Coturnix japonica: one gene and its partner. The protein of the gene in region 2 interacts with the protein of the main gene of each other region in a pairwise test. Links are inferred from orthologs where the notes say so. Each region holds a gene or a part of one and is shown on either strand. Other genes may lie near its edges. The genes, in order: RAB11A and RAB3IL1.

What was found.
Region 1: the proteins of RAB3IL1 (region 2) and RAB11A interact in a two-hybrid assay, tested with the Homo sapiens proteins (2 studies listed by BioGRID and IntAct). The two-hybrid records come from large-scale screens. The link is inferred for Coturnix japonica from reciprocal best matches to the Homo sapiens genes RAB3IL1 and RAB11A.

Annotation. Positions count from the first base shown.
Region 1 is NC_029525.1:16,448,048-16,463,335, reverse strand, and holds the start of RAB11A (ras-related protein Rab-11A), read right to left. Parts: upstream 13,072-15,288; 5' UTR 12,959-13,071; coding exon 12,919-12,958; intron 7,192-12,918; coding exon 6,996-7,191; intron 6,077-6,995; coding exon 5,883-6,076; intron 5,427-5,882; coding exon 5,346-5,426; intron 392-5,345; coding exon 252-391; 3' UTR 1-251. UniProt on the Homo sapiens protein: The small GTPases Rab are key regulators of intracellular membrane trafficking, from the formation of transport vesicles to their fusion with membranes.
Region 2 is NC_029520.1:7,928,186-7,943,985, reverse strand, and holds the start of RAB3IL1 (guanine nucleotide exchange factor for Rab-3A), read right to left. Parts: upstream 13,531-15,800; 5' UTR 13,387-13,530; intron 12,619-13,386; exon of another isoform or gene 12,533-12,618; 5' UTR 12,367-12,532; coding exon 12,353-12,366; intron 10,356-12,352; coding exon 10,121-10,355; intron 9,765-10,120; coding exon 9,669-9,764; intron 8,266-9,668; coding exon 8,188-8,265; intron 7,742-8,187; coding exon 7,526-7,741; intron 6,229-7,525; coding exon 6,109-6,228; intron 4,954-6,108; coding exon 4,825-4,953; intron 4,712-4,824; coding exon 4,602-4,711; intron 2,138-4,601; coding exon 2,038-2,137; intron 1,917-2,037; coding exon 1,850-1,916; intron 1,416-1,849; coding exon 1,333-1,415; 3' UTR 1-1,332. UniProt on the Homo sapiens protein: Guanine nucleotide exchange factor (GEF) which may activate RAB3A, a GTPase that regulates synaptic vesicle exocytosis. Promotes the exchange of GDP to GTP, converting inactive GDP-bound Rab proteins into their active GTP-bound form.

The DNA of each region.
Region 1 (15,288 bases), on a different chromosome or scaffold from region 2:
CGCTGCAAAGAGATCAGTTCAGCTCCAAACTATTTACTGAACCAAAATCAACAAGTCAGCGTTGGGAAAATACTGCAGCCACATAGAAGCAATAGATTATAAACACAGAAATCAAAGTGTTTAAGACATGGAGAAATTCAAAAGGAATAAGCAGTAACAGAACACAAGAAAGTAACCACAAGAATTACAAATATATTTAAATCTTGGACCTGGGGAATATACACAGCCTTTTAGGAAAGAGTGAACAATTCTTATATATTCTGACAGCACTGCATCTTTGGTTTGTTTTCGGTGGTTGGAGGGACATGAATGGGAACCACATTGTTGCTTGGAGACATATCATTCTCACGTCTGTCGGACATTTGCTTCTGGGAAACAATACGATAGATCTCTGGAAGATGAGAAAGAGCCCATCGTTACGTGCATGCAGAGCAACATCAGAAAGCAAACATCTTTGCTTTCTGCAATTCTTGGCTTCCCCAGATTTCCCACACTTCTGCAATGATAAGCACAGCAGCTTTCACAAGAAGTTCAAATGTGATGCCTTCTGTATTTATAAATTAAATATAAACCATCTTTGCAAAACACATTTCTTTCACAACTGCTTTACCACAAGCAATAAAAAAAGACAGATCCAGATTCTCAGTACAGGTGGAGAATCCACCATGTTATACCATCAAATCCTTCCAGTTGATCTCGTGGCTCTCAGAACACGGTGTTAGTGCAGAACAGCTTCAGGACTGTGGAGAAGACTGACTACAGACAAAGAAATCCCAGCAGAAAGCATAGGTTAAACTGCCCTGCCTTTCCTATCGCCTGCACTGAAAGCTTTGCCAGGTCCCTGGGATTTGCCTGTGACCAATAGTATGTGCTGTACTTACACTGCGAGCAGGTACAAAGCCACTCCCTTCAGCATGCATAGAGAAGCGTGACGTGTAGCACTTCGCCCAGAAAGGAAATAAAGGACACCAAAAATAGAATGCTGGGAACTCACTTGCAAATTCAAAACAATTAAAAGTGTTCCAGCTTCAGCAAAAAGCCGACCCTGAGATGACATCACCACATCTGCTTTACACAACAGAGCAGTGTGCTGGCACCAAGCACACAGCACTGCCCGCACCATTTGCCTGCTGGGGCACTCCAGATAAGCTCAGGTCACACAAGAAGAGGGCGTCTGCAGAGCAGAGCACTGCTAGCAAATAGCCTCAGTGAAACACAAAGGTTCAAATTCTTTTGTAGGTCTAAAGTCTCTGGATACTGAAGGTCCAAGCACCTTGTCTGACCCCAGACCAAGATGCCTCTTTCCCACCAGAGATTTGTCATTACTGAGTAGTTCAGAATTTTAAGGAGCTGCTGCTTAGTGCACATCCTGACATCATTTCAGTACTGGAAACCGAGTAACCTTGTGTAGAGAAGTCCTGTTCACTGCCAAGGGCTGGTCACACAGCTATGTGCCTGTGTTTGTGATGAGAACCGATGGCACTGAGGAGCTAAAAAAGGTTCCTGATAAACAAGGCCTGCAAACCCTGCCCTTGATGCAACAAGCTTGGGTTGATTTAAGCTGCCAACACAAACACAGGCTGGGTGCTCCCCAGGAAGAGTAAGAGCAGGGCTGCACACATCCATGTAAGTGCTGACCAAGTGATAATTTCTCACAGGTAATGTGCTGTATCTATTGTCTGTAGAGGGAACTTTGCCCTTTGCAAGCTGCACTGTAAAGAATCTGTTTGTCCGGCCTCTAGAGTGAGGGCTCAAACTCACATAGCAAGACTGCTCAGAAAGCTGGATCTTCTGAATACATTCAGTTAAGATCAGGTCACTGATGCAACCAAATCATAGACACAAAGCAAGATTTTCTTATTTCATCAGCTGTGAAGTTCCCTGTTCTTTCCATGTCGTACAAACAACTTAGCAAGACTGAGGAAAGCGTACAACAACAGATCTTAAAAGCCACCTGTAAGCCTATGGGGGAATCTGGAAATAAAGATCAGCTTTGCCCCATGGCAGGCAAAGGGCACATGTGCAGAGATAGAGGGAGCACAGTTGGAAGAGATCTGCGCTGCATTCTTCAGGACAAGTTCTCTGCTCCATATACCTGCAGCTTCCTGATTAAGTTCATATCGTTCTCCAACACGAGCTGTCATACAATTCCTCCACCCCTACCCTATAAGCAATGTCCTCTGCATAACATCCTCATCTCAAAGCACGTAACAAAAGTCTTAAAAATAACAGTGCTAATTTTTTTTGCTGATAGAGGGGATCTCTCCTCTGGCTGTGGTTGGTGCATTTCCATCTGATCCTCACTCTCTGACCTGCTAGAACATCTAGCAGCAGTACTGCTCGAGTCAACCTGCAGCAGCTCCACTTCTGCTCACTGCCACCTCTTGCTCCTCTGCTGTGCAAACGCAGGATGCTGCTCTAGATCAAAGCCTGAATGGTTAAAAACTACTTTGCCCTACATGACAGTTGCACTCCTTCACCACACATAGTTGTGTTGGTGTGATGGAGGAGGTAGGAACAGCTTAAACCTGCTTTTCCTGCAGCAAAATGCCCAGAGGCAAAGCCTACACTGGAACTGATCTGTATTGAGGAATGCCAAGCTAATGAAGATGCGTACTTTTTAATGAAGACACTACACTTCATGCTCTGCTCAGTAACTGAAAGAGACCTTATTAAGAGCGCAGTCAGCAGAATGCTTCTCTGCGTAATTGGTAACCATGTGAGACAGGCCTTGTGCTGTAAGAGCTGGGAAAAAAAACAACAAAAACAACTGCTGTCTGTTTGCCCAGCCCTTGTCTGTTCAACCAGGGCTAGTATTTCATTCATTTTCAGGTGTATAGATCTAACAAAAAGAGGAAATCCCTCTTGTTCTGTTCTTATGAAATGTTCTTAATGTCAGTACTCTGTGATGTTGTTTCCTTGGAGATGGGATTCCTTAGAGATGAAACCACAGAAGAATGTGGTACAGAAACAGAGGCAGCACTGAATGAGACAGGGAGCGGAGGCTGACTCCAGTTTACTTTAAGGATGCTTTATCCTGCTGTGAATGCTCACAGGGGATAAGATTAAAACACCAGTCTCTCATATTTGCCAAATAATACAAAGCAGCTTTGTGTGCACAAGAATTAGCCCTTGAAGTCTAGACATCTTACAACAGAGGAGCTTGGACAGGGACCATTATTCTAAGCCATAGAAGGAAAAGGTCCCCAAAACTCACCTAGTACAAACAACAGGAGAGGAAGTGTACTAGATTTAATGCCTTGCCCCCCCCACTGCCCTTCTCCAGCAAATCTATAACACAGCAAGACAAAAGGAAAGTTTTCTTCTTCTGCTACCATCTGTAACAACAGACCACACACTCACTTAAGACTGTGCTAACTATAATAGATCCATGTTTCCTACACCCAAAGCTATCGACCTAAGGTGGCTTCATCTGAGAATCTAGGTGTAGACCACTGTCCCAACCAGATCACCTTCCGTAGGGCAGGGAAACAAAGGAGTTTTGCTCCAGATCTCAGTCAAGACATCCCTGTCCAGGAAAGATCTAAGCAGCTGAGAGGCACTGACAGCAGCCTAAGATGTCTTTGCAGCACTCTTCCCAGCATGGAAGATATTAACTAAGCTGGTGCAGCAGCACGCCCTGCCCCTTCTGTCAGCCTCCTCCACACGATGCCTGTGGCAAAGCCTGTTGGCTTTATCAACTTTCTTCTTCAAATGACAGCAAGTATTCATCTAGGGTTACATTTGGAGGCAACCCAGCCACATACATACAGACTATCCATGATTCCACAGGGTCACTCTGAAAACCACATTCCTCAGATGACTGCTCACCTCTTTCCTTCAAAGCAAATCATTAACACAAATAGCCAGCTGTGAAGTGTTATCAAGAAGTTTATTGGCAGAACATTCATCCTTTGCATGCCAGTTACAGCAGAGATGGAGGCAAGCCTCTGCTAATGTATTATTTACTTCATCTTTATCTCCCTGAAACAGGAGTTGATGTCTGGAGCAAACCATGTGCCCACTAATCAACAGAAGTGTTTCTTCCAGCACAGCTGAACCAGCCCTTCCTCAAGAAGGATTCTGTCCGCATGCCCAAGAGTTCAAAACACTGTCACAGCAACACAGGGAGCCCTGACGTTTCTCAGAAAGCAACAGCCCCAACACTCTGTCAGAGTCCACTGAGGGCTAATCTTAATCATTTGCTCTCACATTACAGACTGCTATCCTCCAGAAATAAAACCAGGAAAAACAAACAAACAAAAAATACATATATTATATATATATGCATATCAAACCTCCACTAACTAGAATCCAAAATAACTTCTGGAATAAAAAAGTGCTGTTGGAAGCATACCAGGAGAGAGAAAAGAAACAGCCTAGTGCGTGCCCAACAGGTAAACTGCTTCTCCATAACAACAGCAGTATACTGTATCTGAGCATCACACAGACAGGCAGCAGCCCAGAGCACACCAGTCATCACTGCAATGGCACAGAGTGGTCCACGAAGGGGCTGAGGGCAGTTAGATCTCTCTCTCACCACCCCCCCACTGCAAGGGTACTCATAATATATTTCAAACAACCCAAGAAAATGCTCCAGAATGTATATTTATTAATTTTCTAGCTACCTCCCGCACTGCATGTTCCAATATGGCTAAAAAGTCCTTTATGATGCGTTTGTGTAAGAAAGTATCTATTACTTGCCAAGAAGAGAGAGAGAGAGAAAAAAAAAAAAAATCTAACTAGCTGCCAATGTCACAGAAGCGAGAAGTTACGCCTATCAGACAAAGGGGTTAAACAAAAAGGAAGTACCTCATCCACTGAGCATGAAAACAGCACCAGTCAGTGCTATCACGTGCTACAAAGGCCAGAAGTCCAGCCAGGTTTATTATATGCACTGACAGCAACCACCCTGCACTCAGGAGTCACTGCGTCCCAGACTACAGTACTGCTCACTTCTTGGCAGCTGTTATGCTCACTAATAGTGATGGAAACAAGGTAGATTGCGTTCTCCTCTGACAATAGCCATTTTGTGTGGAGGTGGGCATCAGACAATTCTCTCACACAGCCACTCCCTGTTCCACAAATGGGAAAGTGAAGCACATAAACCAGGCGGACTGGAAACCCAGGGCAGAGCAAAGTGAGTAAGACCAGACTCATTCCCAAGCCCTGTGCTGGTCTATCAACTATGACACTTCAAAAGCAGCGTCTGAATATTACAGCTGTGAGGAATGATTGAATTGCTAAATTTTACACACTTTATAGGCAAATAAATGCCTATTTGCTGCGTATCAGAGCAGCGTTCTGCCCTTCCTCCTCCAAACACAAAGTATTAGATGACTCACCTGTCAGAATAGTCTGGAAAGCTGCTTCCACATTTGTAGAGTCTAAAGCAGATGTCTCGATAAATGACAAACCATTCTTCTCTGTGTGGACAGAAATACTATAATTAGAGATGTATAACATTTATCTCCCATCCAAAAGAACTTTTGTACCAGACAACGTACGAGGTGTTGCTGATGAGATAGATGCATTAGTGCTAAAAAAAAAAGCATTAAAAGTTGTAGGGTTTTCCTCTTTATGATCTGAAACCATGCACAAAACACAAACCTAAACCCACCAGCAGAGCTTCTACAAGAAAAGCAATGCATAGGCACGGAACTAAGTCTGTTTTAAAACTGTTTTCAAGTGCCTCTGGCAGATTCTTGAGAGTCTATCAGCATACAGGCTCTATAGGACTTCAATTTTAACTGAATGAAAAAAGACATGCAGCAGTACGTGGCACTGAGTCTTTTCCCTCCTACCTGTACACTCACGTATTTCACATCAGGTAGGCAGAGTCTGGACAGTTTGAATTAGGAAATTCTTTTGAGTTCACCAACCTGCAAAAGCTCTGGCCTCATCTGTAGGGACTGCTCTCAGGTGGCGCAAGTCACTCTTGTTTCCCACAAGCATGATTACAATATTGCTGTCTGCGTGGTCTCTCAGCTCTTTCAACCATCTCTCGACATTCTCGTAAGTAAGGTGCTTAGCAATGTCATACACCAGTAATGCCCCTACAGCACCTCGATAGTACCTGTGGGTGAAGAGATGTGTTACAGAACCAGCAAGAAACATGATGGAAAGTGACAAGCTACTGAGTAATAACTGTTTCCCACTACTGCAAAGACAGTTATATTAAAAATAATAATAACACACAGCATGATACATGGGACTTGAAGCAGCTGAAATACAGCATCCAGACCAGGGTTAATCCGTGTGACCACAACAGCAGCCAGGGCAGCTCAGGGGCTGGTGGGTTACCCTGCACCTCAAAAATGAAGCACTGTATCTGTGGGGGATCTACTGTCACCTTCAGCCTCTGACCCACACCTGAAAGGCTCCCCACCCACCATTGTGGGTGCAGCACAGGCACAGCCCGGAGCAGCAGGAAGACTTTATAATGACTCACTGGATCATAAAAAAAAAAAAACCATCAACTTGATGTGTTCTCTTTATGAAATGCCCCATTTGGTTTCCTCTCAGACCAGGGAGAGGCACAGTTACACATTCAAAAAGAAAGAGGTTGTGCTTTCCCACCCCACAATTACCTCCAGCTTTATTCAAATCGAGCTTTAGCTGTGCTGTTTTTTTCATTAAACACACAAAGTGAGCAGTGCCTCCCTACTGATACAGGAGGTGTTCTGGTCATAGGTTACCACTGATAAAACCTCCATCATCACAGCTATTATTTCATCAGTGACTTGCATTTAAATAAGTCTCTCAGCTCAGAAACGCCTCCAGTTACATATCATGAGAGCAGTGAGAAGTAAATCTGTTCATACTATGTCAAGCTTCAGGACAGAATAACATTCAAGCTTCCTTTCCCCATATTATATGTAGATATTATAAGAGAAAATAAAACCATCCTATTCTGCAGTTTGAGGAATCAGAAGGGCCCCAAGTTCACCCTCCTCAGCAAAAGCTTCTCTCCGGCCATACAGGCTGCCACTTACGCTGATGTTATAGCTCGGTATCGCTCCTGCCCTGCTGTGTCCCATATCTGAGCCTTTATTGTCTTCCCATCGACTTGAATGCTTCTTGTTGCAAATTCTACTCCAATGGTGCTTTTGCTCTCCAGGTTGAACTCATTGCGTGTGAAGCGTGACAGGAGGTTACTCTTGCCTACTCCAGAGTCTCCAATAAGGACAACTAGAAGAAAGAAATGACATTGGAATCACATCCCAGATGTAGAATATCTGCTGACAACCACCTGCAATGAATACATTTGTTTTCCAGAATAAAACCCAAAGGACAAGAATAGCAGAACCACCTCCCTCCTTGTCAGGGGTCTGTTGTCCAAGCCTTGAGATTTCCAGATAACCAGTGCTGTCACACCAGCATTTCAGACAGACTTCAGACATGGTTTTCAGCAGTTACCATTTCAGTCTCCTTTGTTTTGTACTGAATCACATTCCTCCTCCAGGAAAAACACACATGGCAAAGTACAAAAGTCAGAGACAGTTTAGATTTCACATCCTCGTGACAACGCTAGGATTAAAACAAGAAAAACCACAGAGGTGTTTTGCTGAAGCATAATTCCAGCACACGGGGCAGGCTGCCTTCACTCTACACCCCTCACATCCTTGCAGGAGAGCCATGGGTGACAAGAAAACAGCACAACTCTACTTGTTTTGGGAAAAAAAAATAAGTGTTTGTACAGTAATAAACATCATTTCAGCTTTAAGATGTTGCAGCACAGTGTTAACTACGCTGTGTGGTACAACAGAGGAATGAGTCCACTGAGCTCAGGAGCGAGACAGGCCAGCAGCATAAAACCTCCCACTGTTTGCTGCATCACACAGCAGAGTTCTGGCCACCGTTCCCTATTTACATAATGCACAACTGTGACAAACGGGGCTTTCCCTCACTGTAAGAGCCGAGAAGCATCTACTAAATTCTTTCCACAGAATGAGAATTGCAGCGAACACCAGCTTCACGCAGCCTTACAGAGAATGCTTCACCGACACACTGCAGCCCCTCCAGCAGCTGACTCAGCGAGCAGCCTGCCAAGCGTCTGAGGCTGCAGAAAGCAAAGAACAGCTTTAACACTTCTCTTAGGAGGACCCACAGTGAGAGTGGCATGCACGTACACTGAATGCAAACAGGATCTGTTTGCCCACATGACAGTTCAGCAGGGTTTGGTGTCAGCTGCCCTGACACAACAGAGCAGCTTCCCTGGCACACAGGATGCCCAAGGGTGATAAAGACAGTGCAGAGGTCAGGGTACCTAATTACATCATCACCACAAGGCAAACTGACACACGTTTCCTCTTCCATTGGCAAATAAGATCTTCAATACTCTTTCAGCAGGTTTAGGCTGCAGTTTTAGATGACATCATGCTTATATTCATTGGGATAAATGTATTCATTGGGCTGAAAACTTGTCTAGATGAGGAAAGCTGTCCACACGCATCACTTTGTGTTCCCCAGAGGCCGTATCCCATCCGTTACCTACCGCCCTCACAAGTATTTCTGCTGTTCACTGCACATTTCCAAGGACAGTTCGGGCAGTTCCTCCACCAGGTTTCTTCCTCACCTCATCTAAGTGCCACACCACTTATGTCTGAGTGCTCTCCAGTGCCAGATTAACGTGTCTCAATTAAAAGAGGAAATATTTTACTTTCCTCCTTGAAGCCGGCTATTTCCTCTACTTAATTGGGCCACAGGAACAGCTTGCAGTGTCAGCGGGTACCTAAGGCTCCTCACACCTTCTGCATTTCCACCAGTTCTTTGGATGCAATGATGAACTGAAGCAGCATTAACCATCGCTCCGATTATTTCATTAATTGTCGTTTTGCTTTCCTTATCAAACCACCTCAGTTTGATATTTCACACTACACAGCGTTCCCATATATTGCATTCTCAGCAGAGGAATACAGCAGGAATGACTCTGAATGCCTGAGCCCAACTCTTAACTATCACAGGCAAACAGTTCGAGAGGGAAATGATGGTATCTAACTCCACATCAAAGCTAATTGTTCCTGCACACAAGCTTTTACTGGGCTTCTCTTCCAGAAACTCACTCTAATGGTTAGAAATTGCCTTCTAATTTTCAGAAGAAATTAGCGGTCAGCTGGTAGCAGTGTTTGTGTGCCAGCACTGCCCATTAGCTTATTAGTTTCTTCTCCCAGCGGTGTTTATGCTGTTTCATGTATTTACAGAAAGCAGCCGCATCTTCTCAGCTTCATTCTACCACCTAAATAAGCTGAATTCTCAAATACATCCTTCATAATAACCTTCTTCATCATAACCTTCTTGGCACCAGTATTGGCACAGCCTGAGAATAACCCAAGAGGAGCAGGAGGGATCCCCTAACCCAGCTGACTACAGGCAGCTCCCTGTTGCTGCTTCAGTGATGTGGCAGCTCACTGTGTGCGACCACGAGCTATTTGAAATGATGCATTTACTGCCCACAGCACTTTGCACTGCAACAAAGCATGTGGTGGACAAAAAGAATAAGGCAGTCCATGCGACTGTATGAATTTCATTCTGCAATCCCAGTTTTATTTCTGTAGAAGACCAAAATAAGAATTCAATTTCCTTGCTTGAAGAGCCATTTAGAGATGTATTAATCTTTCACCAACATCCCAACTCTCACTCACATTTTATTTCTGTTAAACCTCTAATTGAAATATTTTCTAAGAATTTCTACTAGCTCATAAAATACACTACTGACATCCTAATCAGATTGAAAATAAGTCTAGCAATGTTAGCTGCTTCTGGCTGCAGGAAGGTTATTACACCATTTAATACATGTCAGGGGTTACAGTGTCTGAGAACACTCCTGTCTGCACTGAGCTCTGCTACTAAGAGGCAGATAAACAAAGAGCCTGAACACATTATGACACCCACAAGACCCTACTGAACACTTCTTCCAGCCTACTTCAATTGGGATTTAAAGGGAATGAGAATTAGATGACCTGATTCCATATCTCCTAGCCAGCTGGTGACAAACCTAATGTGATCGTGTCTTACATCAGTCTCCCCATCACCTATATCATCCATTTTCTGTCTCAAAGCGTCATATGCTCCAAAGGCACCTTAGGGTAAGGCTTATTTGTTACCCACACATACTACACACCACCCAAAACATGAGTGCAGCATAACAGCAAAGCAAGAAGGTCTGTTCAGCCCAAAAGAGCCTCCACATCTAAGAGCAGGGATTGCTACCACTGTAAGAATCACTACCTGCCATTCAACTGCATTTCCCTACAGACTTCTGTAACAAAAACACGAGAAAAAAATGCATTGTCTGAAGTCAAAACAGCAGCTCTGTTCAGATTCAGTTTCCTTCAGCAAAGGAAAAAGCTGGAGTAATAAACATGACGCAAACAAGGAAGCAGATAGCTGAAACAGGAGTTTTTCCACCAATCAGCTGAATGCCGCTACAAGCCAGGTCTGCATTCGGAAACAAGAAAGCTGACCTCAAATCCAAAGTTCCAGATGGTCAGGGTACAAACCTAATCCTCCTGAGCTTTGTCTGTGAAAAACACCAAAGACATATTCCAGAAGTGAGGGCTGGTTTGGCTCCTACTCATTAACCATAAATACATTAATCAAAGAGTTAAAAGTTGCTGCACTTCAGTAAGGATATTACTCAATAATTTAAGCCTCATGTCAACACTTATATTCTCTTCCTGTTAAAATTGGAGCAAGAATTCTATGGAGTGGGCTTCACAGACCCTGGGTTTCCTGCAGCATGCTGCTGGGGGATACCAGCTCTGTTCTCTCAATGAAACCAGCTGGTTTAGCATGGAAGGACACACATGCACACATAGCTGGACATGAAGAAGTTACCAGAAAATGACTTGTTTTAAGCCTGGCCTGTTAGGTTTGAGCATATACTAAAGTGCTGTTGCAGTGGAGCCAGGAAGGGGCAGCACAACAGCTACTGCAATTAAACTGCAGCAGCACAAGTGGGCTCCTATCAACACCACCAGCAGCCAGATTTTGCCATGGAGCTGCTGTTAACAGGACAAGAAGAGAGACCTCACACAAACACACTAACAGCAGTTTAATTCAAGAGCAATAAGAGACAGCCAGGCTAGAAAATATGTCTGGATTCTTTTACAGCACATCAAAACCTGAAGTTAGTCCCACCAACAACATCCCTCCGAGTCCATGAACCCCAATGAACTGCCTGCCTGGATTGAGCATCCTGATAGACCAGTCTGACAGCAACAAACAGAACAAACAGGCCAACCTCTGCATAGCAAGCCCTCCCATCTTCAAGCAGCAGTGCCCCCAGACACAGCGCTGTAAGCAGCACACCCAGGTGCCCAACACATCTCTTCCTCTGTGAGTTTCTACAGTCTTCCAAATCCATGCATGCTTTTTGTCTACAGCAACGAACTACTCCGAAGTCCACATACAGACTTTATATTCTTTCCTTATTGCTTTTAGTTTTGATAAAGCGTCACTTCAATATGGGTCAACCTACTGATTATTTTGATGTCCTCCTGCATCTTCTTAGTTGCAATATTGCCTTCAAAACTGGTACACCTGCACTGCCCACATGTTCCTGCAGTCCCCAGGGGATTCCTGTTTTGGGCTCACACACCGGAGGAATGATCCCTACCATCTCATTTCCTCTTCCAAGGACTTCGACTGTTTGCCTTTTGGGGCAGTGCCTGGTAACAAGACAGCGATTTCAGACAACCACTCACTAATTCCAAGATCATTCCAGAGCAGTGACTACTTGGCAACACCAGCTCCTCTGGGTCCTCAGAACTGTTTCCACAATTTTTGGTTACACTGCATTTCTGGATATGTTGTTTCAGCTGCCACATTAATCCCAGCTATGCAGCACTGCATGGAGTTCCTGCTTTAACTCTGGAGGACCTGAATCACTCATCGCCACAAGACCGTTTTCCTATCACTCCCTGCACTGCAGCAGTTTCCATGTGTTACTCCAACATGAAAAGCTTTAGGAATGGCAATCAATTCACTTAGCTTTGATTTCCTCCCTCTCCTCCCCCTTATGAAAATGAACCCCAACCGTATTATTTTGCGGTTTAATCAAGAAGCTCTGCATGGCCGATACTCCCACCGCTGTCAAAGCATTAATTCTAAGTTTATTTACACAGTTCTGTCAGTACAGGTAACAAAACGCCTCCGATAACCTGCACACCTCGGGCTCCAAAACAAACTGCTGACGTGATGACGCTGGCGGTCAGCAGGGCCTGTGCTGCCAGCTGGGAAAACAGGCTCTTCTTAATGCTGCCTGGCTTCACCTTAAACAGTGCAAGTGACTGACTTACAGGTCAAGGTTTTCTACTTGGAAACTGGACAATACAGACAATGAGACTGTAATTCCTTGAAGTTATTACTGGAGCTTAAGGATACAGAACAGAATATTGTTCTCCTTTAAGTACCCAAGATTCACCACTCAAGCTTGTTGTCTCTCATTATTATAATGCAGACATTCCAAATCCGACATCCCACTTCCCAACGTAATAACAGCAATAAGCAGCTATTTCCACAGCTCCTCAAAGACCCAATTTCTGAACCTCACTACAAAAGCAGCATCGAAACGGCAGCACAACAGCACAACAGCCGAGCAGCGCTCCCAGAAGGAGCCCGGGCGCTGCCTGCAGCTCCAGCGCTGCGTCTCGGCAGCTCGTGGCTGTGAACGAGGCTCTAAAGACAGCGAGAGACAACGCTGCGTTAAATGAGCTGCATCATTCCCCGATGTGACACAGCTCAGCCCGCAGCTCCTGCTCCGCCACCACCCGCCGGGACACGGTGACGCCCGCCGCCCTCAGCCCACCCAGGGCCGTCAGCTCTCGCCGCGCTCCCCACCCGCTGTGATAAGGCCCTCAGGGCCGGAGCCGCTTGGTGACCCCCCCCGGGTGGGCACGGAGATGCGGGCGTTACCTTTGAAGAGATAATCGTACTCGTCGTCGCGGTTGCCCATGGTGCGAGGTGTGGCGGAGGCCGAGGACGGGGCCGGGGCCGGGGACGGGAGCGGGTGCTGAACCCCTCCCTGCAGCCGCCTCAGCGCTTCCGCACTGCCCGCCCACGGCCAGCTCCTTCCGGGGCAGCGCCGCGGAGCTGCTTCCGTCCTCCCGCCCCGCCCGGCCTTAAAGGGACGGTGCTGCCGGTGGGGCACGCTACGAGTTCGGCCCGGTACAGCCGAGTTCTGCCGGGCACCGCTGGGTCCGCCGAGCAGTCACAGCCCCGGGACGAGCCGCGGTGGGAGCGCGACGTGCTGCGGAGTAAGGACTAGAGGCGGCCGGGTGAGGTGGTTGTCACCGCGGTTCCATGGTGTAAAGGTGAGCACTCTGGACTCTGAATCCAGCGATCTGAGTTCAAATCTCAGTGAGACCTCTACTTTTTCACTTTAAGTGTATTTTTTTTTTCCCCTATATGTTCTAACTATGGCCCATAGTACTCCTGTCTCCCTTTCCCATTGAGGGTCCTTCACACACACAGGGTAACACCTCCTGTATCCTTTTGGCTGTATTTTATCCCGTGTGAGGTATGGGCATCCTTCTCACCACAGTGTAAAACAGGGCATTGGTTCCACAGTTCTCAGCACTGCTCAGTTTGGGGTGGGTTAAGGAGAAGCCCACCAGGTCCTACAGGTCTTCCCACAGCCCAGGACATGAGCAGTGTTCAAGCCTATAATTGTGTGAGATTCTGTAATGGTGGCACTGCTCTTGAAGGAGATAGCAGCGAGATATTTGAGTTCATGAGGCACAAAATGGTATCTGGGACCATCAGGTACAAAGCTGAAATAGTGACCAGATGCTGAGGGGAAGGGAAAAGATCGGAACTTTGTCTGTAGAAGGGTCAAAATAGAGTGTAAGGGAAACTGTTGATCACAGCCTGAACCTCTGATTAACCATCTGAGGCAAGTGATGAGCCAGCTGTGGGAGCACAGGTGAAGGTAATTTAGCCTTGACTAAGGTGAAGGTAATTTAGACCTTGACTCCACCTCTCCTAGAGTCCATTTAAGGGCTGACCACCATTGTGGTGGCATCTTTGTCTGGAGATTGTTCATCTGTGGAGTTCTTGTGGTGAGTCTCTACATTGGTGAGCACCTGCCTTGACTGAAGGCCTCAGAACTGGTGAGTCCTTATCCTTGGATACCCTCTAGCTGTCTATTTCCAACTATATTTGTATTATTGCAACTGTACCTTATACTTGCATTATTTCAACTGTGTAGTAAAGTACAGAGAAAGCAAAGCTACCCTCAGAATGAGGGCTATGGAAGCAAAAGCAGCTAAAAATATGCATGCATACATATTTGCATTTACCTGAGGGAAATGAGACCTGCCAAAAGGGAACTTGAAGCTGTGAAGTGGGTGAGCACAGCCCCAGGAGGGTTTGTGCCCTCAGGGTTTGTGCCAGGACAGCAACAGGGCTCCAAAGGCCTCACTCACTGAGGCCCTGCTGCCACCCTCAGGCACTAAGGCCAGTTCCTTTCTCCTGCATTAGGGCTGGAGACCTAATTTGAAAAGCATAAAAGTAGCCCTGGTGTCCAGATGCTCAAACCAAGGCCCCTAAGCCTCGCTCTGCTCTCAGTATATTGGCCATCTCAGCACTCAGCAGCAATGTGATGATTTCTGTGTGAGGAGAGAAACCCCCAGGCACCCACAGCATCAGTGACTGTCTGCTGGGAGGAAAATGAGCCATAACCTGATCCTTTCCGCTTACAAATGCTTCCTGCTGCCTCAGAGCTTGCAAGAGAAGAAAACAAAATGCTAATAATGAAGGGATGTGGGGCAGAACCAAATTCCCCCCAGCACAATTGATGAGGTGAGCTGGAGCATCAGGGGCTGGGCTCAGCCTGAACCTCTGGACTGACCCTTTTTGTCTGCAGATGAGCTCAAAACACATGAGATGTGGAGTCTGTAACTGCTCCTCTCTCTTCAGCCTCTTTCAGAAGCTGATCTACTGCGCTGAGTAGTGCATTACAATTAATAATGAATACTCTACATGTGGGGGCTGGGGTGTATTTATAGCTGCATTGTTAAGGCTTCCATCTCGCATCCTATTTGCAGTCCTCCTTTGAACATTGCCATTTAAAAAAAAAATGTTAATTTTGACACGATGTTCTTCAGGCCTAGTTTCACACCCCAGAAATGCTACTGGTTTCAAAAAAATTAAAAATAACACGGATTAAGTATTTTTAGTTATTCCCCCTGTAAGAGCTGTTCTCGTTTCTGTGTTTTGGGTTTTGTTTATCAGCTAGCAGCCTGGGAACAACCTTTACTTATGTTTTTCATACGTTACTTCCTC
Region 2 (15,800 bases):
TAAAGGTGCAACCATCCTGTTGTTAACGGAATGACAGCAGCTCAGTTTTCTTACAACAAAGACAGAAAGTTCCCACTGTGGCATCTCTCAGGAGAGGATGGAACCTAATGGAGTGAGAGGGTGACTGAGAAAGAGCTACATCAGCTACAACACTGTGTTAGTACAGTTCTGTGCAAACAGGCCTGAGCTACAGATGGCCTCCACTCTCCAAAAGCCATAGTGATATCCTTCCCAGCACTTTTTGAAGCATACAGCCACATCCCTCACATCCATACAAAAATACCACACGTTTCCTCATTGGGTATGGCAGCCTGAGAGATACTGGGTTTTCCAAATGGACACGCATCTCTAAGTCTAGTGTTAGAGCAGAGGGGGAAACTCCGAGCCTCAAGGCTGTGCCCCAGCATGAGCATGATCCTTCTGGACATAAAGAACCTGGCCTGGGAGCACGTTTTCCATTTAAACAGCGTGAACAGTGCCCAAATCTACCCTCAGGGTAGGAACAAAACAAAGGTATTTGTTTGTGGGTGAGGTTTGTATCTAGGAGTACCACCAGGGACTTCTGCACCAAGAATCATCACATGGTAATGTGCTAACAAGGTCTACATCTGCCTACGACAGCAACAGCAGATTCTCAAGGCCAGGAGAAAATATCCAGCACTGAGTGCAGCCAAGCTGTGGCCAGCTGCAAGTTATGCAATTTCCCTACTTGCTTCCTTCTCCCAGAGGTCCCAGGTGCACAGCTCTGGACTCAGCCCTAGCTGCTCCCCACAGCTGGATTACAAACACCCAGTACCAAATCCCAAGCTAAAAACAGAAACCAAACCCTCTTGTGACTCAGGCCGGAAGAAAGATTCTCTTGCAGACTTCAGCACCCTCCACCCCAAAGAATGAGTGGAACAGACAGACAGACCGCCAGCATCTGTCCTGAAAGACTTGCTTACTAAGAAGGGAGCCCAGGACTCCTACTTTGCACAGGGCTGGCCTCAGACTACACCAAAGCAGACTGTATATAAAAACAAAAGTTTAAAAATAATGGATATACACTGCATATCTCCATAAGGAACAGTCTGTAGACAGTCAGTCCCAAGCAGCCAGGACCAGCCCAGCTCTCAGAAGGTAGCTTGGCAGCTGCATTCCAGTCACACCGGGAGGAATGGGACAGCCAAAGGTAGAACTTGTGCTTTTTGCTCCATGATCAGCATCAGGCATAGGGAGGGAGAGGAGGGAGCAAGGCCACTGCTGGAGAGACACTGCATTCATCTGTTTGGCAGACCACAGCTGGTGAATCCTTCAGACAGGAGCAGTTTTCTTCCAAGCTCAGGCCGCTGCTTACATCTCATTGGGATAAAACCCAAGTTTGGCCAGAGACATTTCCCTCCGGAGTCTCATCACTTCCCAGTACATCAGTTCCACTGCAAAGTAAAAAGGGAATAGGGAAGAAAAATGAAAAAGCAGGGAAAAAAAAAAATTAGTAAGCAAGGTATAGTTAGACCCCACCTCATGCTACGCTATGCTTACTGTGCAGCCTGACAAGGCTCCCCACTAAATTGAGGGAAGCAGATATGCTGGAGGGTCCAGCAGGACTGGCCTAGCAGGTCACCCCTTTACTCGCTCTGCCTCAGGATACAGTGTCCAAGAAACTGCTGAGCAAGGAATGGGTGCAACCATCCCACCTGCTTGCATCTCTTCTTTGCCATTTAACCATTTCTCAAAGATCCAGTGAGTTCAGGGCATCCCAAGCTGGCCACACTCTTGTCATGCTGACAGGAGTCAGCCTTATGACCTCAGAATTTTTCCCACTGGCCCATCAAAGGTCCCACTGCACCCAGCTGCTGTCCCCTCTTACCATCTTGCCTCACCAAGCCCTGCTGGATATAGCGAATGTATGTGAAGAAGTTGCACACCGCTGTGATCTGAGGAATAAAGAAAAGAAAAAAAGACATCAGCTACAGAACAGGAGTGATCCTGGTGTTCAGCACCTGAGAAATGGTACTACATATCACCAGATACACTCTGGGAAGGTGGAATACTCACCCTGGCCCTGCAGGACGGTGAGATGTAATAGTAATTCCCAGAATCCCCCAGCATGATGCGATGTTTGCAGGTCCTGGGGAGGCCACTTAGAGCACACTTCCTGCAGGCAGAGAGAGAGGAAAAAAAAACAGACCAGGCTATAAAGCAACCTCACAGAACAGCAGAGTACATCCCCAGGAGATGGAAGGTGGAGCTCAGAAGTCAGACCCGTATCAGTGAGCATTAAGGAAAAGAAAAACAAACCAACTGCAGCTGATAATTAGCCTTTCAACCTAGAAAGATTCCACAAACAGTGAGTTTAGGAGACTTAAGCTAAAAATCTGGTACCCGTGCTCAAGCAAACCAAGGTGTTACCCTTGGCAGAACCACAGAAAGAGGTGAGGACAAAGCAGAATATAACTCATGTCCTCTGGGCTCCATGCATCTCTGCCATGCAAGGATTTTGCTGAAGGAGTTCTGTCCAGGTGTTTCAGCTCTCCTGGTGGGATATATAGCTACCAGCTGGGGACAAAAAGCAGTTTCAAAACAGATATTCCAATGCTTGAGCATAATCATCCCCCTGCTGGCCAGACACTGAACTTCATCCAGACTTGTCACGTTTCCTCAATACCCTCCAACACAGGACGCAAGGTGTTCCTCAAGGTATCCCTGCATGGATTTCACACACCACACTACTGGGAAACGTACAAGTCTGCCACACCACAGGAAAACACATCCAAGGGAAGCCACTCATCTGGTGTTACATTTAAAATGAAATGACTGAATGAGCTACAAGAGGAAGCTGTCAGGTATTCTAAAGTGCCTAAAGATTTTGTATCACACTTTCTCACCACCAACTAGCACAAACTCCACTAACTCGTTCCGAGAACTGAAAACTAGCTGCAATGCAGCCTTTATGCTAGGCTCCTCTTCCTTATTTCAGACTTGAAAGCCAAGTGGAGTAACTTTGTGCTGACTTCAGGGGATTTTGGATATGGTTTCAGGTCCCTAAGAACAAACCAGTCCCTTCCTGTGCTAGCATGGAGAAGTTCAGCCTTACTACTGTAGAGATTTCAGACAAAGGATGACAAAAGTACCCTTTTCAAGACAGCATGGCTCCCACAAAGATCACAAAAAGATGTGACCAGCAAGGGTGCAGCACGCCTCTATTTTCTTGCCATTTCCTTCCATTATTCTGAAGACAAACAGTTCCCTGTACCAGCCAGTAACCTCCCCTTCAGCAGTAAAGCAGAATTTGTGGCTGCAATGTCATTACCATGGCTCCTCGGAGATCTAATGGCTGCATGGCTGGAAGAGGGACACCATTCCTCAGCTGCAAAAGTTACTCTGGGAACTGTGGAGGATGACAACATACAAAGGAGCAGACGTTCCAAAAAGCTTCTGAGAACACCTTGGTGCTTGCTTTCCACTGCTATCAAGCTCAGCTGCTGCCTGCACTCCTAAAAGCACTGCAATGAAGTCTGTACCATAGGGTGAAAGGGACCAAGCTTTCTTCTTTCTACAACACAGCACAACCAAAGGTGCCGCAAAACCTTGCATTTTTATCCAGGGAACAAATCAAACCCATTTATAATCAATAGCAAGATTCCTTAACACCTGGTCAAGGTAGAAATTAAATAGAGTTAAAGAGTTTGGTTAGTTCAGCTCTAGCCTCAAAGCCACTTAATCACACTAAACTACTGTTAACAGATCAGCCATCCTTGATCACCTAGTAATACTTTACAATTTATGATTGGAACACATTGTGAAGAGGGAAAAAAGCCTGAAAGGAAACCAGCAAGGATAAACACAGGATGGGCTGGTCCTGGCAGAGCTCTGACACATGCTGGGGGAACAATTTGTCTAGAGATGAGAAAAAAAATGTAGAAGAGAGGAGTAGGAAGCCTGCACATGAGCAACATTCATTACAGGAACACCACTGCCTGGAAGGTGCTGTGCTTGAAGGGAAGGGGGAAGAACTAAGGGACAGAGCCTCAAATGAAACCAAATTCAATAACTGAAAGTCCCCTGTCTTACTCTGAAAGATGATGTTGCTCCTGCCAGCATTCCTCTTCCTTGAAACAACCTAAGTCATCTGTCACATCAAACACAGACACAGTATCAAGAGGGAAAGATTACATATATGCAGCGAGGAAAAGTTCAGCCAAGCTCAAATCCACCTGGAGCACCAGCAATGTCAGCAGCACAAGGTGAGCTTGGGGGTCAAAGATACAAGAATGTGAGATAACGCAGCTCTAACTCAGCCCTTATACCCTACGTTATGCAAAAGCTTTCAGAGAATATTAACGAAGTTCATCTCTTGAGTAGGAAAAGAAAACAAGTAAAACTCCTCCAAGCTGAGGGCACTAGCACATTATTACATTATCTCCCAGCCACTCAACTGCAGTATATCCAAGAAGAATTACATCAGCTGGTGAAGAGTTCAGAAAGCGGAACTCAACTACCACTAATCTTGGGCTAGAAATACACTCAGCTGAGCCATGGTACCCGACTCAGCCAACTCCATGAGGCAGTGAGAGAAAACCAATAGCAAAGAGGGGACAAGAACAAGAAAGGTTCCTTACTTTGGCCCACCAGAGTCCTCTGCTGACACCACCACAGGTAGCATCTGGGAAGCAACAGGCTCAATGGTAAGTGTATTCTGCTCCACAGCCACTCGCACCAGCTCAGACAGCTGCAGCAAAGAGAAATAACTGCAGATATGGATGTGCAAAGGTCACCTCCCTAAAGATGCACCTTTGATGCCACCAGAACATGCAGTTTCTGTCCTCAGTTACCAGCACTCACCTCCTGCTTAGTAAAGTCCAGACAAGGTCCTACATCTTCTCGGTAAATTCTGTCCAGGAAGGAGCAGGATTTATCCAAAGTTGGAGATTCCTTCCAGGACTGGAACTCGGCAAATAAAATGGAGTCGATCTGCAGTAAATATTCAGGAGAAGAAGGAAGACAGAAGGTAGGTAGAGTAAGAGATACCATGTCTAAGATAACTAATGCACAGGCAACTTAACTATACAACATCTACTTTGGCATCTAGAAAGGTTCAAGTATGACAGAAGTGCCTGAGGGAAGCTGGCTCTCTCCAAGGACCTTTTGTCTCTCACCCATCTGCAGATGTGTGCCAGACCCATCCAGCCAAGGTGGGCACATTCTGCCAGAAACCTGCATCTCTCCCACCTTTGTCCAGGACAAGGCAGCACCACAATTGAAGAAAAGCCACCACACAACTGCTGAACAGAGCAAGTGCCCATGGCAGAAACAGCGAGAGGATCTGAATGGCAAAGCACAGTGTAACGACACCCAGACACAGAATGCTTTTCTTAAGAAAGGACTGCTATAGAAAAGGATGAAAAACGGAAAAGAAAAAAAAAAAAGCAGCTATTAATATCAGCAGGACTACATCCAGAGAGACCAAATAACAGAGCACGCCAGCCCTTTAAAGGCCACTTCAACTGAGAATTCTGGTATCTGGGGAGTTGAGGAAGTAATGGGAATACTGGGCAATCTCACTGGCATGCAGGAACAAGTGGAACATCAAACCTGAGTGGGAATAACTTTCCTGATTGCTGCGATTGCTCACTGCCTTTTACAAGTGGGCTTGCAAGAATTATCACTCCTCAGCAGCAAGGTACTCAAGGACAGAGCCTTGATTAGGTTGATCCCTCCTACATTGCCTGACTGGAAATACGTCAGTGTTGGAGACTCTCTGGAACTGACGTTTAAACCTCAGGTATTAGCCCAACCACCAACCCAACAGGGCAGCTGTTTAAAAGGCCAGCAAATCCTGTTAAAGATGCTGAAAGGAGAAACAGAACTACAAAAACATGCCAAACAATACAAAAATCATGAAGGAACAAAACAGAAAGAGGTCTGAGACTTAGCACACTTGTTGTATGCTATGGGGACCGCTCACCTCGTACCAGCAGACAGCTTCAGAGCCACAACATGGAAAAACAAATTCAGGAAAACAAAACAAAAATGGAGGTTAGCATAAAAGGAAGCTAGAACTGAAAGGCTGAAAGTGTGAGAGTTGGATGGGTCCCACCCCTCTCCAATCCTGTCCAGTACAGTTACCTGCCGCAAGGGTGAGGAAACATCTGCCCCCAGTGCCTGCCAGCCTGGCTCATAGGTGAATTGGATGGCCTTCCCAGGGATGACACAAAGGAGCAGAGAGAGGAGAGCAGGCACCCCAGACTTTGAGGCGAGAGAAAGAGACAGACAGTGAAGGAACACGTTTAGAGTGACAGGCAAGAAAGGGAAGTAAAAAAACCATAACAATACAGAAGGTACAGGCAGAGACTCAAGGCTTCTTTTCCAGGGAACTACGACTGATGCTATGGCATCACAAGGCCATAAACTACACCTTCCAACTTCAGATTGATGTGCTAAAACAGAACAGAAATGCTGCAACTTCTAGGCACAATTTAGGATGGGACAAATTTTCCATAAAGCACCAAGCTGAATGCCAGGTTCCCTCATGCCACCTCTCATACGGGCCATTAAATAACTTGAGAGGAATGGTAACCATCAGGAGAGCACAAAGGGCATTAGAAGATTAAAGCCACTTTCTCCCTAGCTCTCAAATTAGCTTCTAGCCAACTAAGTATTTGACTACAACTTCCAGCATATCTGGTTTGTTCTGTGATCAAGAGAAACAAGTACAGCAGGGCTTCACAGTTATTGAACTAATTTTTCCTTCAGTCTTCTTTTGGACATAGCCTTTGTTCCTCTCTGCCTGCAAACAGAGTTAAGGATCATCTTGCTAGAGGCCCCAGAACAGCTACAGCCGATACTGCCTGAAGTGTTCCATCCAAACTAGTAACAACAGCACTACACAGAAATTAGCAAAGTAAATCCATTGAAATTGCAAACAGCCTTTCACAGCACAGTCCTCCTGTTAGGTGGAAATATTAATTTCACCAGCTGCCCTTCTGCATACACATCCTCACACAGTGAGAAAGGCAAACATTAAACATATGCTCTGCAAGAGAAGGAAGCAGTGGCATACCCAAGAACAGAGAACAAGAGATATCAATGGAGATGTTGACAGAAGTTGGTGGAGGAGTCTTGGAGCCCAAAACCAGGCCCTGGATCATTGAAAGTCAAACCAGTTGGAAAAAAGAACAAAAGCAAATCACGCCAGAACAGGCAGCAGACTCAACTGCCAAGATGCATCAGAACAACTGGCTGCTGCTCAGCAACTCCCACCACATCCATTCTCAGCACTGCTAACTCTTTGGTCTGCCCATACCCTCCAGTGGTGCCTCAGCTCCTTCCTCTAGCAGTTGTCCTAATGCAGCTTTGAACTTAATTCCCAGAAGTGGAAATCTCCACAAATAGAAACCCTCCAGAGTTTGCCTCATCAGCACGGTTTAGGGAGCAAACCAGCCTACTGCATGGATGGCTTCTCTCAGTCAGATCCAAGCAAAACTTCCCAGACACAGAAACAGCAGTGGCTCCGAGGCTGGTGCAGTGAACAGCCCTCACCCACCTCTTTGCACTCACGACTGACTGGTGCTGGAGTTGCACTTTGGCTGACAGCTGTGACAATTGCACTGCTGGTGCTCTTGTTTCGCCCATGGCCTTTCCTGAAGACGGCTTTAGAAGGGCTCTGGAGCTGAGGGTGGAGCTCCCAGTTTGGGGAGGAAGGTGTAGATGTGATCACAAGTGTCTTCAGAGCTGTTACTTCTGCCTGCAGCATGTCGATCTGAGAGAGACGAGGCAAGAGTCAACAGCACCTTCAGCATCTGCTGAACTTTCAGCACTGCACCCAACACTGTAAGGCCGCAGGGAACCAACTGCAAGCACACTCATGAAGCCTGCTCCCCATCCTCCCAGATGCCCACTGTCAGCCAAACTTTTAAAGAGGAAAACAAGAACTAACTGGGAACCTATCCCACTGCTCCTCTGTCTGAGTATATATTGCTCCAGTCTCTTTTTAGACACAATAACCCAGAAGTAATTTCAATTTCCAAGATGGAACCAATCCAGCAGCCCTGTAATGCACCCTCATCAAGCTCTGACCACATGGCTACAGCAATTAGACAGTAGATTGCTTCTATGTGGTTCCCCTCACACCCTTTTCTCTAAGAGGAAGGGATGATCAACACCAACCCTGCAAAGAAATCAAGCCACAGAGTGAGCAGTTCTCACCTTTCCCCATGCCTCCTTCAGCTGCTTCTCTGACGCCGCCTGTTTTGTGTTTGCTTCTCTCACCATCTTGTGTGCCTCCTAGACCAGAAAGAGTTTTAGTCTGTCTGTGGCAGCCCCATCTCATACAGTCACTAGGGCCAGCCAAAGCTCTGCCCTGTTCATGCTCTGTGCAAGCAGGCAGGTGCACAGACATCACTGCCACATCTGATTATTTTACTCTGACAGATGTGAAGAGTTTGGCCCCCCATAATTTCCCAGAAAAGGGCTCTCAGCGTCAGGGCATGGAGTGCATCCCCTTCCCAACAGCGCAGCTGGATAAACATAACAGTTCATCTGCTGAGCCCAAGGTTATCTTCTCCAATCACAGAAGGTGCAAAAAAAGCCAGAAGAAATGGCCTGCCCCTCCTGCCCTTGGGATATGCTTTAAAGCCAAGGTTTTAACATTGGCATCCACCCATGCTAGATCATAATTGTGTAGTCCAATACTTTTATGACTGATCCAAACACACTGGCTTAGCTTCCTGGCATGACTTGAGACGTGTGTCACCACTGCAGACTTGCTGGTTCATCAGTAGACTGTTTCTGACCCTGATCACTGTCACTGGCACAGATCCTCATCCAGACTCACTGATCCACATCCCAGCTCCTCATTCAGTCACTGCCCTGCTGCACTTACCTGATTCGTTACTGCATTTTGTTCCTAACTCCTACATGGAGCAGCCAGTCCTCACTGCTCTGAGCACAGCTGCAGCACAGCAGCAGGAGTGGTAGCTCAGGTAGGGACTAAATTTAGAAGCAACATCCCACAGGAAGGGTGAGGTGGGTGGTACCAGTCCCAATGAAACCACCCCACAGCACTGCCTGGAAGCACTCTGCCCAAGGCCACCAGGTGAAGGAGGAAGCCCTCAGCTGAACTTCTGAGTTCACCTTACACTCAGCACCAGCTTGTGTTTCACAGGTACAGCTGGGTTCTGGCTTCCCTCACTGTCCAGTCAGATCTACAGATTAAAGCTGTTGGTAAATGGGATCATGGGATCGCATCATACAATAATCAAATTAACAATAACAACAACAAAAAATTAACAATAACAAACAAAAAAAGCAAGCCACAGCAGATGCTGTTCAGACTACAGAGCAGGCGCAAGAGAAGGCCAGGGAGCCACGCTCACCTCTAGCTCTGGGCATCCCCATGTCTGGTTTCATTTAGGTTTGTAACCATGGAACCTGCTGTGCTCTTTATGTCACCCCACAGCTGCGAGGGGGGGAAAGGAACGTATGCAAATCCTCCCCAGAAGCAAGTACCAGCCCCTGGGAGGGTCTGCCCGCAGCACTGTGCAGCTTTCCAAATGCAAATGAACAAAGACTGAGGAAGCTGTGGGAGTTTAACAGGAGTATGGCTGGAAGTTCAGAGAAAGCCTACCTCAAAGGAATTGGAAGCAAGCTTAGCTTAAGAAATGATGGGAAAAGGAAGAGGGTGGTACCTCAAACAAGCTAGCTGTTAACTCTTCTAGTTCCTGCTCCAGTTGTTCTCTGACTTTTGACAGCCTCTCGCATTCTTTGTCCTTCAGCTTCAGCTCCTGTTGAGGAAATAGGAGAGGGATGCATGAGCTGCTAGCAGGCCCCAGCAGTGCTGATGCCCGCCTGGGCTCACCTACAAATCACACCCCTTCCCCTCCATACCCCTGCACTGATCCTGGACCTGAGACTCCTGTCACAGCACTCTGTGCCACCAGAAGCATCCCTCCACAAGCTGCAGCAGGCTTTTCAGGTTGGAATTGCTCGTTTATGACTAGGCTCCACATTACAGAATCATTAAGGTTGGAAAGACTGCTAAGATCAACTAGCCCAACAACCAACCCATGCCTGTGACTGCTCTAGACCATGTCCTTCAGTGCCTCCACACTCAGCTCTTCTCACAGGCTCTAGGCTTTACCTTTTGTGCTTTGTGCAGCTCTTCCTTCAGGAACTCAGAGCCCTTTTCCCGGATCTCCACCGAAGAGCTGCGGAGACGCGAGACGTTGCGCTGCTCAGTGGACTGGCTGTCATCCCCACAGCCTGCATCCTGGCATCCAGTCTCTGGCTCCTCCTTGCTGCCTTTGGATGGCTTTAGTGGTTTCCAGTATCCCACAGCTGGTTGCTCCTGGCTGTCTTCCTCAAAATGGGTCTGGCTGTAGGGAACCGGCACAGTGAAACTGTGTGTGGGGGTGATCAGCAAACCTGCCAGGCTCAGAAACAGCCTCAGAGGCAACAGCAAGACAAACCAGCCTGGGTTCACCCAACATTTCAGGGAGGCTGAGGGGTACCGTACTGAACAGGACATTCAGTAGTGAGCTGTGCTGCACCTTCAGGCTCCCAAGAGCACAGGAGTGAAGCAGGCAGGTTGAAGGCATACAAAGAAACTGGCTTAGAGGACCTCTTTTGTGTCCCAGAGCTGCACCAGCTCCTTTGCCTGCTGGCTGGGCTTGCCTGCCCTCAGCAGAATTTCTAAGGATAAATCCTTGTCAAACAAACCATCTTCTTGCAGCCAGTTCTTCAAACAGAGATTGAGAGAGCTGAGAAATGTAACTGGAATAAGCTGCTCATGCACAAATACTGTTACAAGCATGGTTAAACAAGCCGCTCACCAGATTCCTCGTACTGCCCTCTCTTAAATACAAGCCAAGGCCAGGAAAAATATTTGTCAGATTCATTTGCTGCAGGCGTGAGCATCAAACAAATCAGAACAAATGAAGATGGGGAACACTCATCTGTGAGTTTCAGCCCTGAAGTCCCTCATAGCTCAGACAGACCCTAAGCAAACACTGAAGGCAGAACAGACATACAAAATTCACAGCCTGGCCATTTCTCTTCTCTTCCTTCTTAAAAGATCCCAGATATACACACAGATATTGCTTCCCTACTGGATTACTTCGCGCTTTTGACATGAATTCCTTTCAGAACAGCAACAGAGAGGAGACAGTGACCCAAAGCAATGAGTTGGGAGGAAATCTCTGCTATCCTGGGATCTTCAATAATCGCACCAAGTACAGTGTGAGATGCCTGCACTCCTGGCAAGAAGGGCTTGTTTCTCAACAGCAAAGTACTGCCTCACAGACAACTCTCTACACACAAAACATAAGTAGGCAAAGTTATAACACCTCGTTTTACCCTTCCCAAACAGAACATCTCAGACATTTAACTCAGGACAAAGCAAGACTAAACACAGCTATTCCAGGAGTGCCGTTCTTGAGCATTTTCAGAGAAAAACAGACCACAGCTGGCTTATTTAGTATTCCAGCAAACACTCCATCGGCCTAAGTTCAGGGACGCTGCTCCCCAAACCACAGGAGGAGCAAAGAAAAAAAACAGTACAGCTTTGACATTCCATAGCAATACAAAGACCGTGACCCCCTTCACTTCAGATCCAGACTTCAACCCCACAGGGCAGGAAGAGGCTGGGTAGGTTTTGCAGCTGCTGGTGTGTTACAAGAGGAAAACACATGCCTGAATGCCTGTCCACGTGGCAGAAAGTGTGGTCTGCCAGCTGTCTTCTCCTGCAAAGAAGTTCAGGTACCACAGGGAGTGGTGTGAATGCGCACTAAGAGAAACCTCTTTGAGCCATGGGATGAGAAAGGGTACAGGACCATCCACGATGCCATGCCATGCAAACTGGACAGAACTGGGAAGGGGCAGCATGCAGTCAGTGTCATAGATTTTGCCAGTCTCTTTATAGAATAAGTAAGAGAGCTTAAGCAGTGCTGGAAGGGAGGAAAGGATTCAGAAGGAACGGTTGACTTGACCTGGTCTTACTAGGTCTAGAAGGAGCTTGTTCTGGTGATAAATGCTATTAGGAAGTATAATAAATAACATAAAGGAGCACGCTGGGGAGGGAAAACGACAGACAGCACTGCCATGCAAAGATAATTAATCTGAAGCTACTCAGCACGCTGGAGCTGCCGATAAAAATGCCATATACACACACGGATGCATAGATCTGAGTGAGCAACTTGTAACCAGTGGAAACTCCCAGACCACGCCAGCACTTACTCTTGTAAGTGCAAGAGAGAGCACTTATGGTGCACACTGCATGGTGTTCAGACAGCACAGCACTGGCTGTAGTCAAGCTGTTCTCTGGACACATTCAGGGAATCAGTGAAAGGTCAAGATGAGCTAAGGCAGCACTTACCTAACGAGGGCCATTGCTATGGAACGAGGAGGTCTCCAAGGGCCCCACTCAGGAAGGGGAGGTATCGAGCAAAGGAACGACCCAATGGAAAGGAACGAAGCCCATCACGGGAAGGTGGAGACTCGATGAAACCAATTCATCCTCGCCGCACGAAGCCAGGGGAGGTTCTCTGCGATGGATCTGCCACGAAGCAGGGAGAGCGTTCCAAACAGAGGCGTTCGTTCAATAGTTAAACCAAATCTCGGATGGCCCCGCGGAATCCCTCCCTGCAGAGATCAGACAGGCAAACTGCAGCGAGCGCACGGCTCGGGGACTCCCGCATTAGCCAGGAAGCTCCCTAGGACGGCCAGAAGGGGACAAGAAACAGAGCAGAAAGGGAAAACCGAAATCAGGACCAAACAGATGCGAAAGAAAGAGACGAGAGAAAGGGACACCACAACAGCCCGCTTAGCTACTAAGAGTCCAGCTATTCGCATGGAATAGGAAGGGAAAAAAGAGATAAGAGCCGTTTCCTCGTGACTCGAGCTCTCGGAGGAAAGTTATCAGTACAGGAGAGCGCTGCGCTGCTGCATCGGGAGGGACGGCAGGAAGGCACGGAGCGAGCCGACGGCACCCGACGGAGCGGTGCACCTGCGCTCTGCCCCGATGGGCTGCGCTGCTCGGGAACCGGGCCGGGTCCTACCCGTCCTCCAGGCGCGAGAAAAGGGCAAAGGAGAACCGAAAAAAAAAAGCAATTAAAAAGGAAGGCAAGCAAAAAAAGCCGAGCACAGCACAAACTGCCCAAGTTGGATTCCGCAGAAAAAGCCAAACAAAAAAAGTGCAGGCTCGGCAGTTTTGCAGCTTCCTGCCGCTCCGACCCCGCAGTTTCCTGCGGCTCCGTGCACGGCCGTTCCCTGCGGGCTGCTGCCCGTCCCGCACCGGGAGCGGCGGCTGACAGCGCTGCGTGGCGCCCCGCAGCACGCACGGACGCGGCGCGTCTCTACCCGGGCGGCCCCGCAGCGACCCACGGCCGGAGCCGCCGCCCGCACACCTACCCCGCTTCGTGCCCCCGGCGCATCACGGCGGCGGAGGGGACGGAGAAGCAGCGCCCGCCACCGCCATTCCCGCAGCACGCCCGGCTCCGCGGGGCCGCCCCGACGGGAGGGGGCAGAGCGAGGCGCCACGTGATTAAAGCGCGGCCCCGCGGATGCGCGTGCGCGCTGCCGTCAGCACGCCGTGATTTGGGGGGGGTACCGCCCCATAGGGGGGCTGTGGGATGAGTATCTGATGCTGCCCTGTCCTTTAATACCCCCAGGGACCGTGACCGCACCACTCCCTGCGCAGCCCGTGCCACCGCATCGCCGCTCTTCCCGTCAATCAATGCTTCCTAATATCCAACCTGGACCTCCCCTGGCACAGCTGGAGGCCATTCCCTTATATTACAGCCCAGTCCCATCTGGTCCGTAATCATCTGAGGTGCCAGAGCAAAGTGTCTGAGGTGGCCACATCCGTGGCTGTAACCTTTGTTACCTGCTGGGAGCTTTTGTGAGGAAGGGGAGATCCGCAGCTCTGCAGGCAGCACCAGAACTAATCAGTTGTAATGATTAACTCCCAGCATGGAGGGTCCTCGGGTTAGAAAGGCAGAATTGCTTCCAGAGTCCAAAAGGCAGCAAGAGAATGTTTCCAGCCGGGTTGTCTGATGGAGGGCTGGAAGGCTGTAGATGCTGAAAAGCAGGAGTAGGGCCCTGACCCAGCAAACTCAGAGCGGATGTTATTGCAAGAGTGTAACACTCCAGGATCCATCCGCCCACTCGCTCCCCTCCCTCCAGCCATGCAGCATGTTTGCTCAACTGGTGAGGAGGGCTCCAGCAAGGCTCCTCTGGGATCTCTGGGGCTAAGATCTCCAGTTTCACAGACGAGATCTGCCTTAAGCACCAAACAAACTGCTGCCCATTTCCCAGGGCAACAGGGAGGAAAAGGAGAATGAAAAAGCAGAGAAAGAAGAGCAACAAGGCTTGTGTCTGGGGGTAGCAGAGCTGTGTTGCTCAGGCAGATGCAGCCTGGCACAGTCCTGCTGTGGCACTGGAAGCACTGCTGACCCCTGCCAGATCTCGGCTGCTGCTCCCTGCTGACAGCAGTGTTTTTTGGAAGAGCTCAGCCTGAGCCCAGAGGAAGAGACATTGAGACAGGAAAAAGAAGAGCAGCTGGGAAACCTGGAAAGAAAGGACTGTCCAAACAGTACATGGTCCTCAAAGACAGCAATTAGCACACACTGAGCACCCTCAGCCTGTCCTGAGTTCCATGGGTCCCGAATGAGATGGATTTTTGCCACAAATCCTGCATTGTAAAGGTGAGAGGCCTGAGGTTCTTCACAAAAGCACTGATGGTCACTGCATCCTCTCCAAAGGCTCACGGCAAGCTCAAACATCAGAGTCAGTCTTGTCTATAAAAACAGCAATTCCTCAGATACTCTCATATTTTGGTGTTTTTTTTCTACATCACACTCCGAGGAAGAGTGTTAGTTTGAAAAAATAAAACCCATCAGCATCTATCTTGGCACTGAAAGCAGAGATGGGAGAGGGGTTTCACTGGGCTTTGACACCCGTGGTGTCCTGAGAAAAGCACTTGTTCTCTGTCAGACTGCAGGGAGGGCTCTGTCCCCTTCCCGGAGGCAGCTGCAGCAAATGAATTTCAGTCAGCACAGGGGGAGGGATTCATTTCCCGTCACAGTAACCCAATCTGCACATCTGCAAAATGGAGAAAATGGGAAGGATTCCAGGGCCTGCAAGGACAGTGGGAAGGCAGCGAGACTGAGGATGGACGTCAGTGCATCCTTGCTCCTCCTCTGCTGCTTTCAGACTGGCAGTTTGCTTCAGGCCTGGAAGAACTGAGGCCTCGGGGAATGCAGAAAGTGATCCAAGTATTGCTGCCACACTGGTAGTCCCTCAGTTATTTACTTTCCTATTAGATGCCACGGATGTTTGGTGCTGTCCTAACAGTAACTCTGAGCCATATGAACTGCTGGATGAGCTGCTTTCAGAGGAGGGCAGCAGAGTCCCCCAGATAGGGACATATCCCTCCATCAAGAGCTGGATGCTCAAGATTTTGCTGTTCCTCCTTAGAGTCCCCACGATCACAGAAAATCCCCACAGTTCCAGAAAATCTATCAAGAGAACCATTTTTGTTCTTGCCATGTAAAAGGACATGGACTCAGGCACTGGGGCCCTCTAGAACTATCTCTGTCTGCCTGCCTAGTAATCCCTTCTCTCTAGATGTGTATGCAAAGTGGTATCTCAAAGACATGTGTCCTCCCCAGACCCTGACCCTTCATGTGGACAACCCTGCCTCCAGAGAGAGCCCAATCCTGTGCTCTCTCATGTCTTCCCCCATACATGGAACTCTTTGGGTGTTTAGAGACATTTTCATCATCCTGAGTCATTCAGGGACCCTGCTGGGATGACAGCACTAT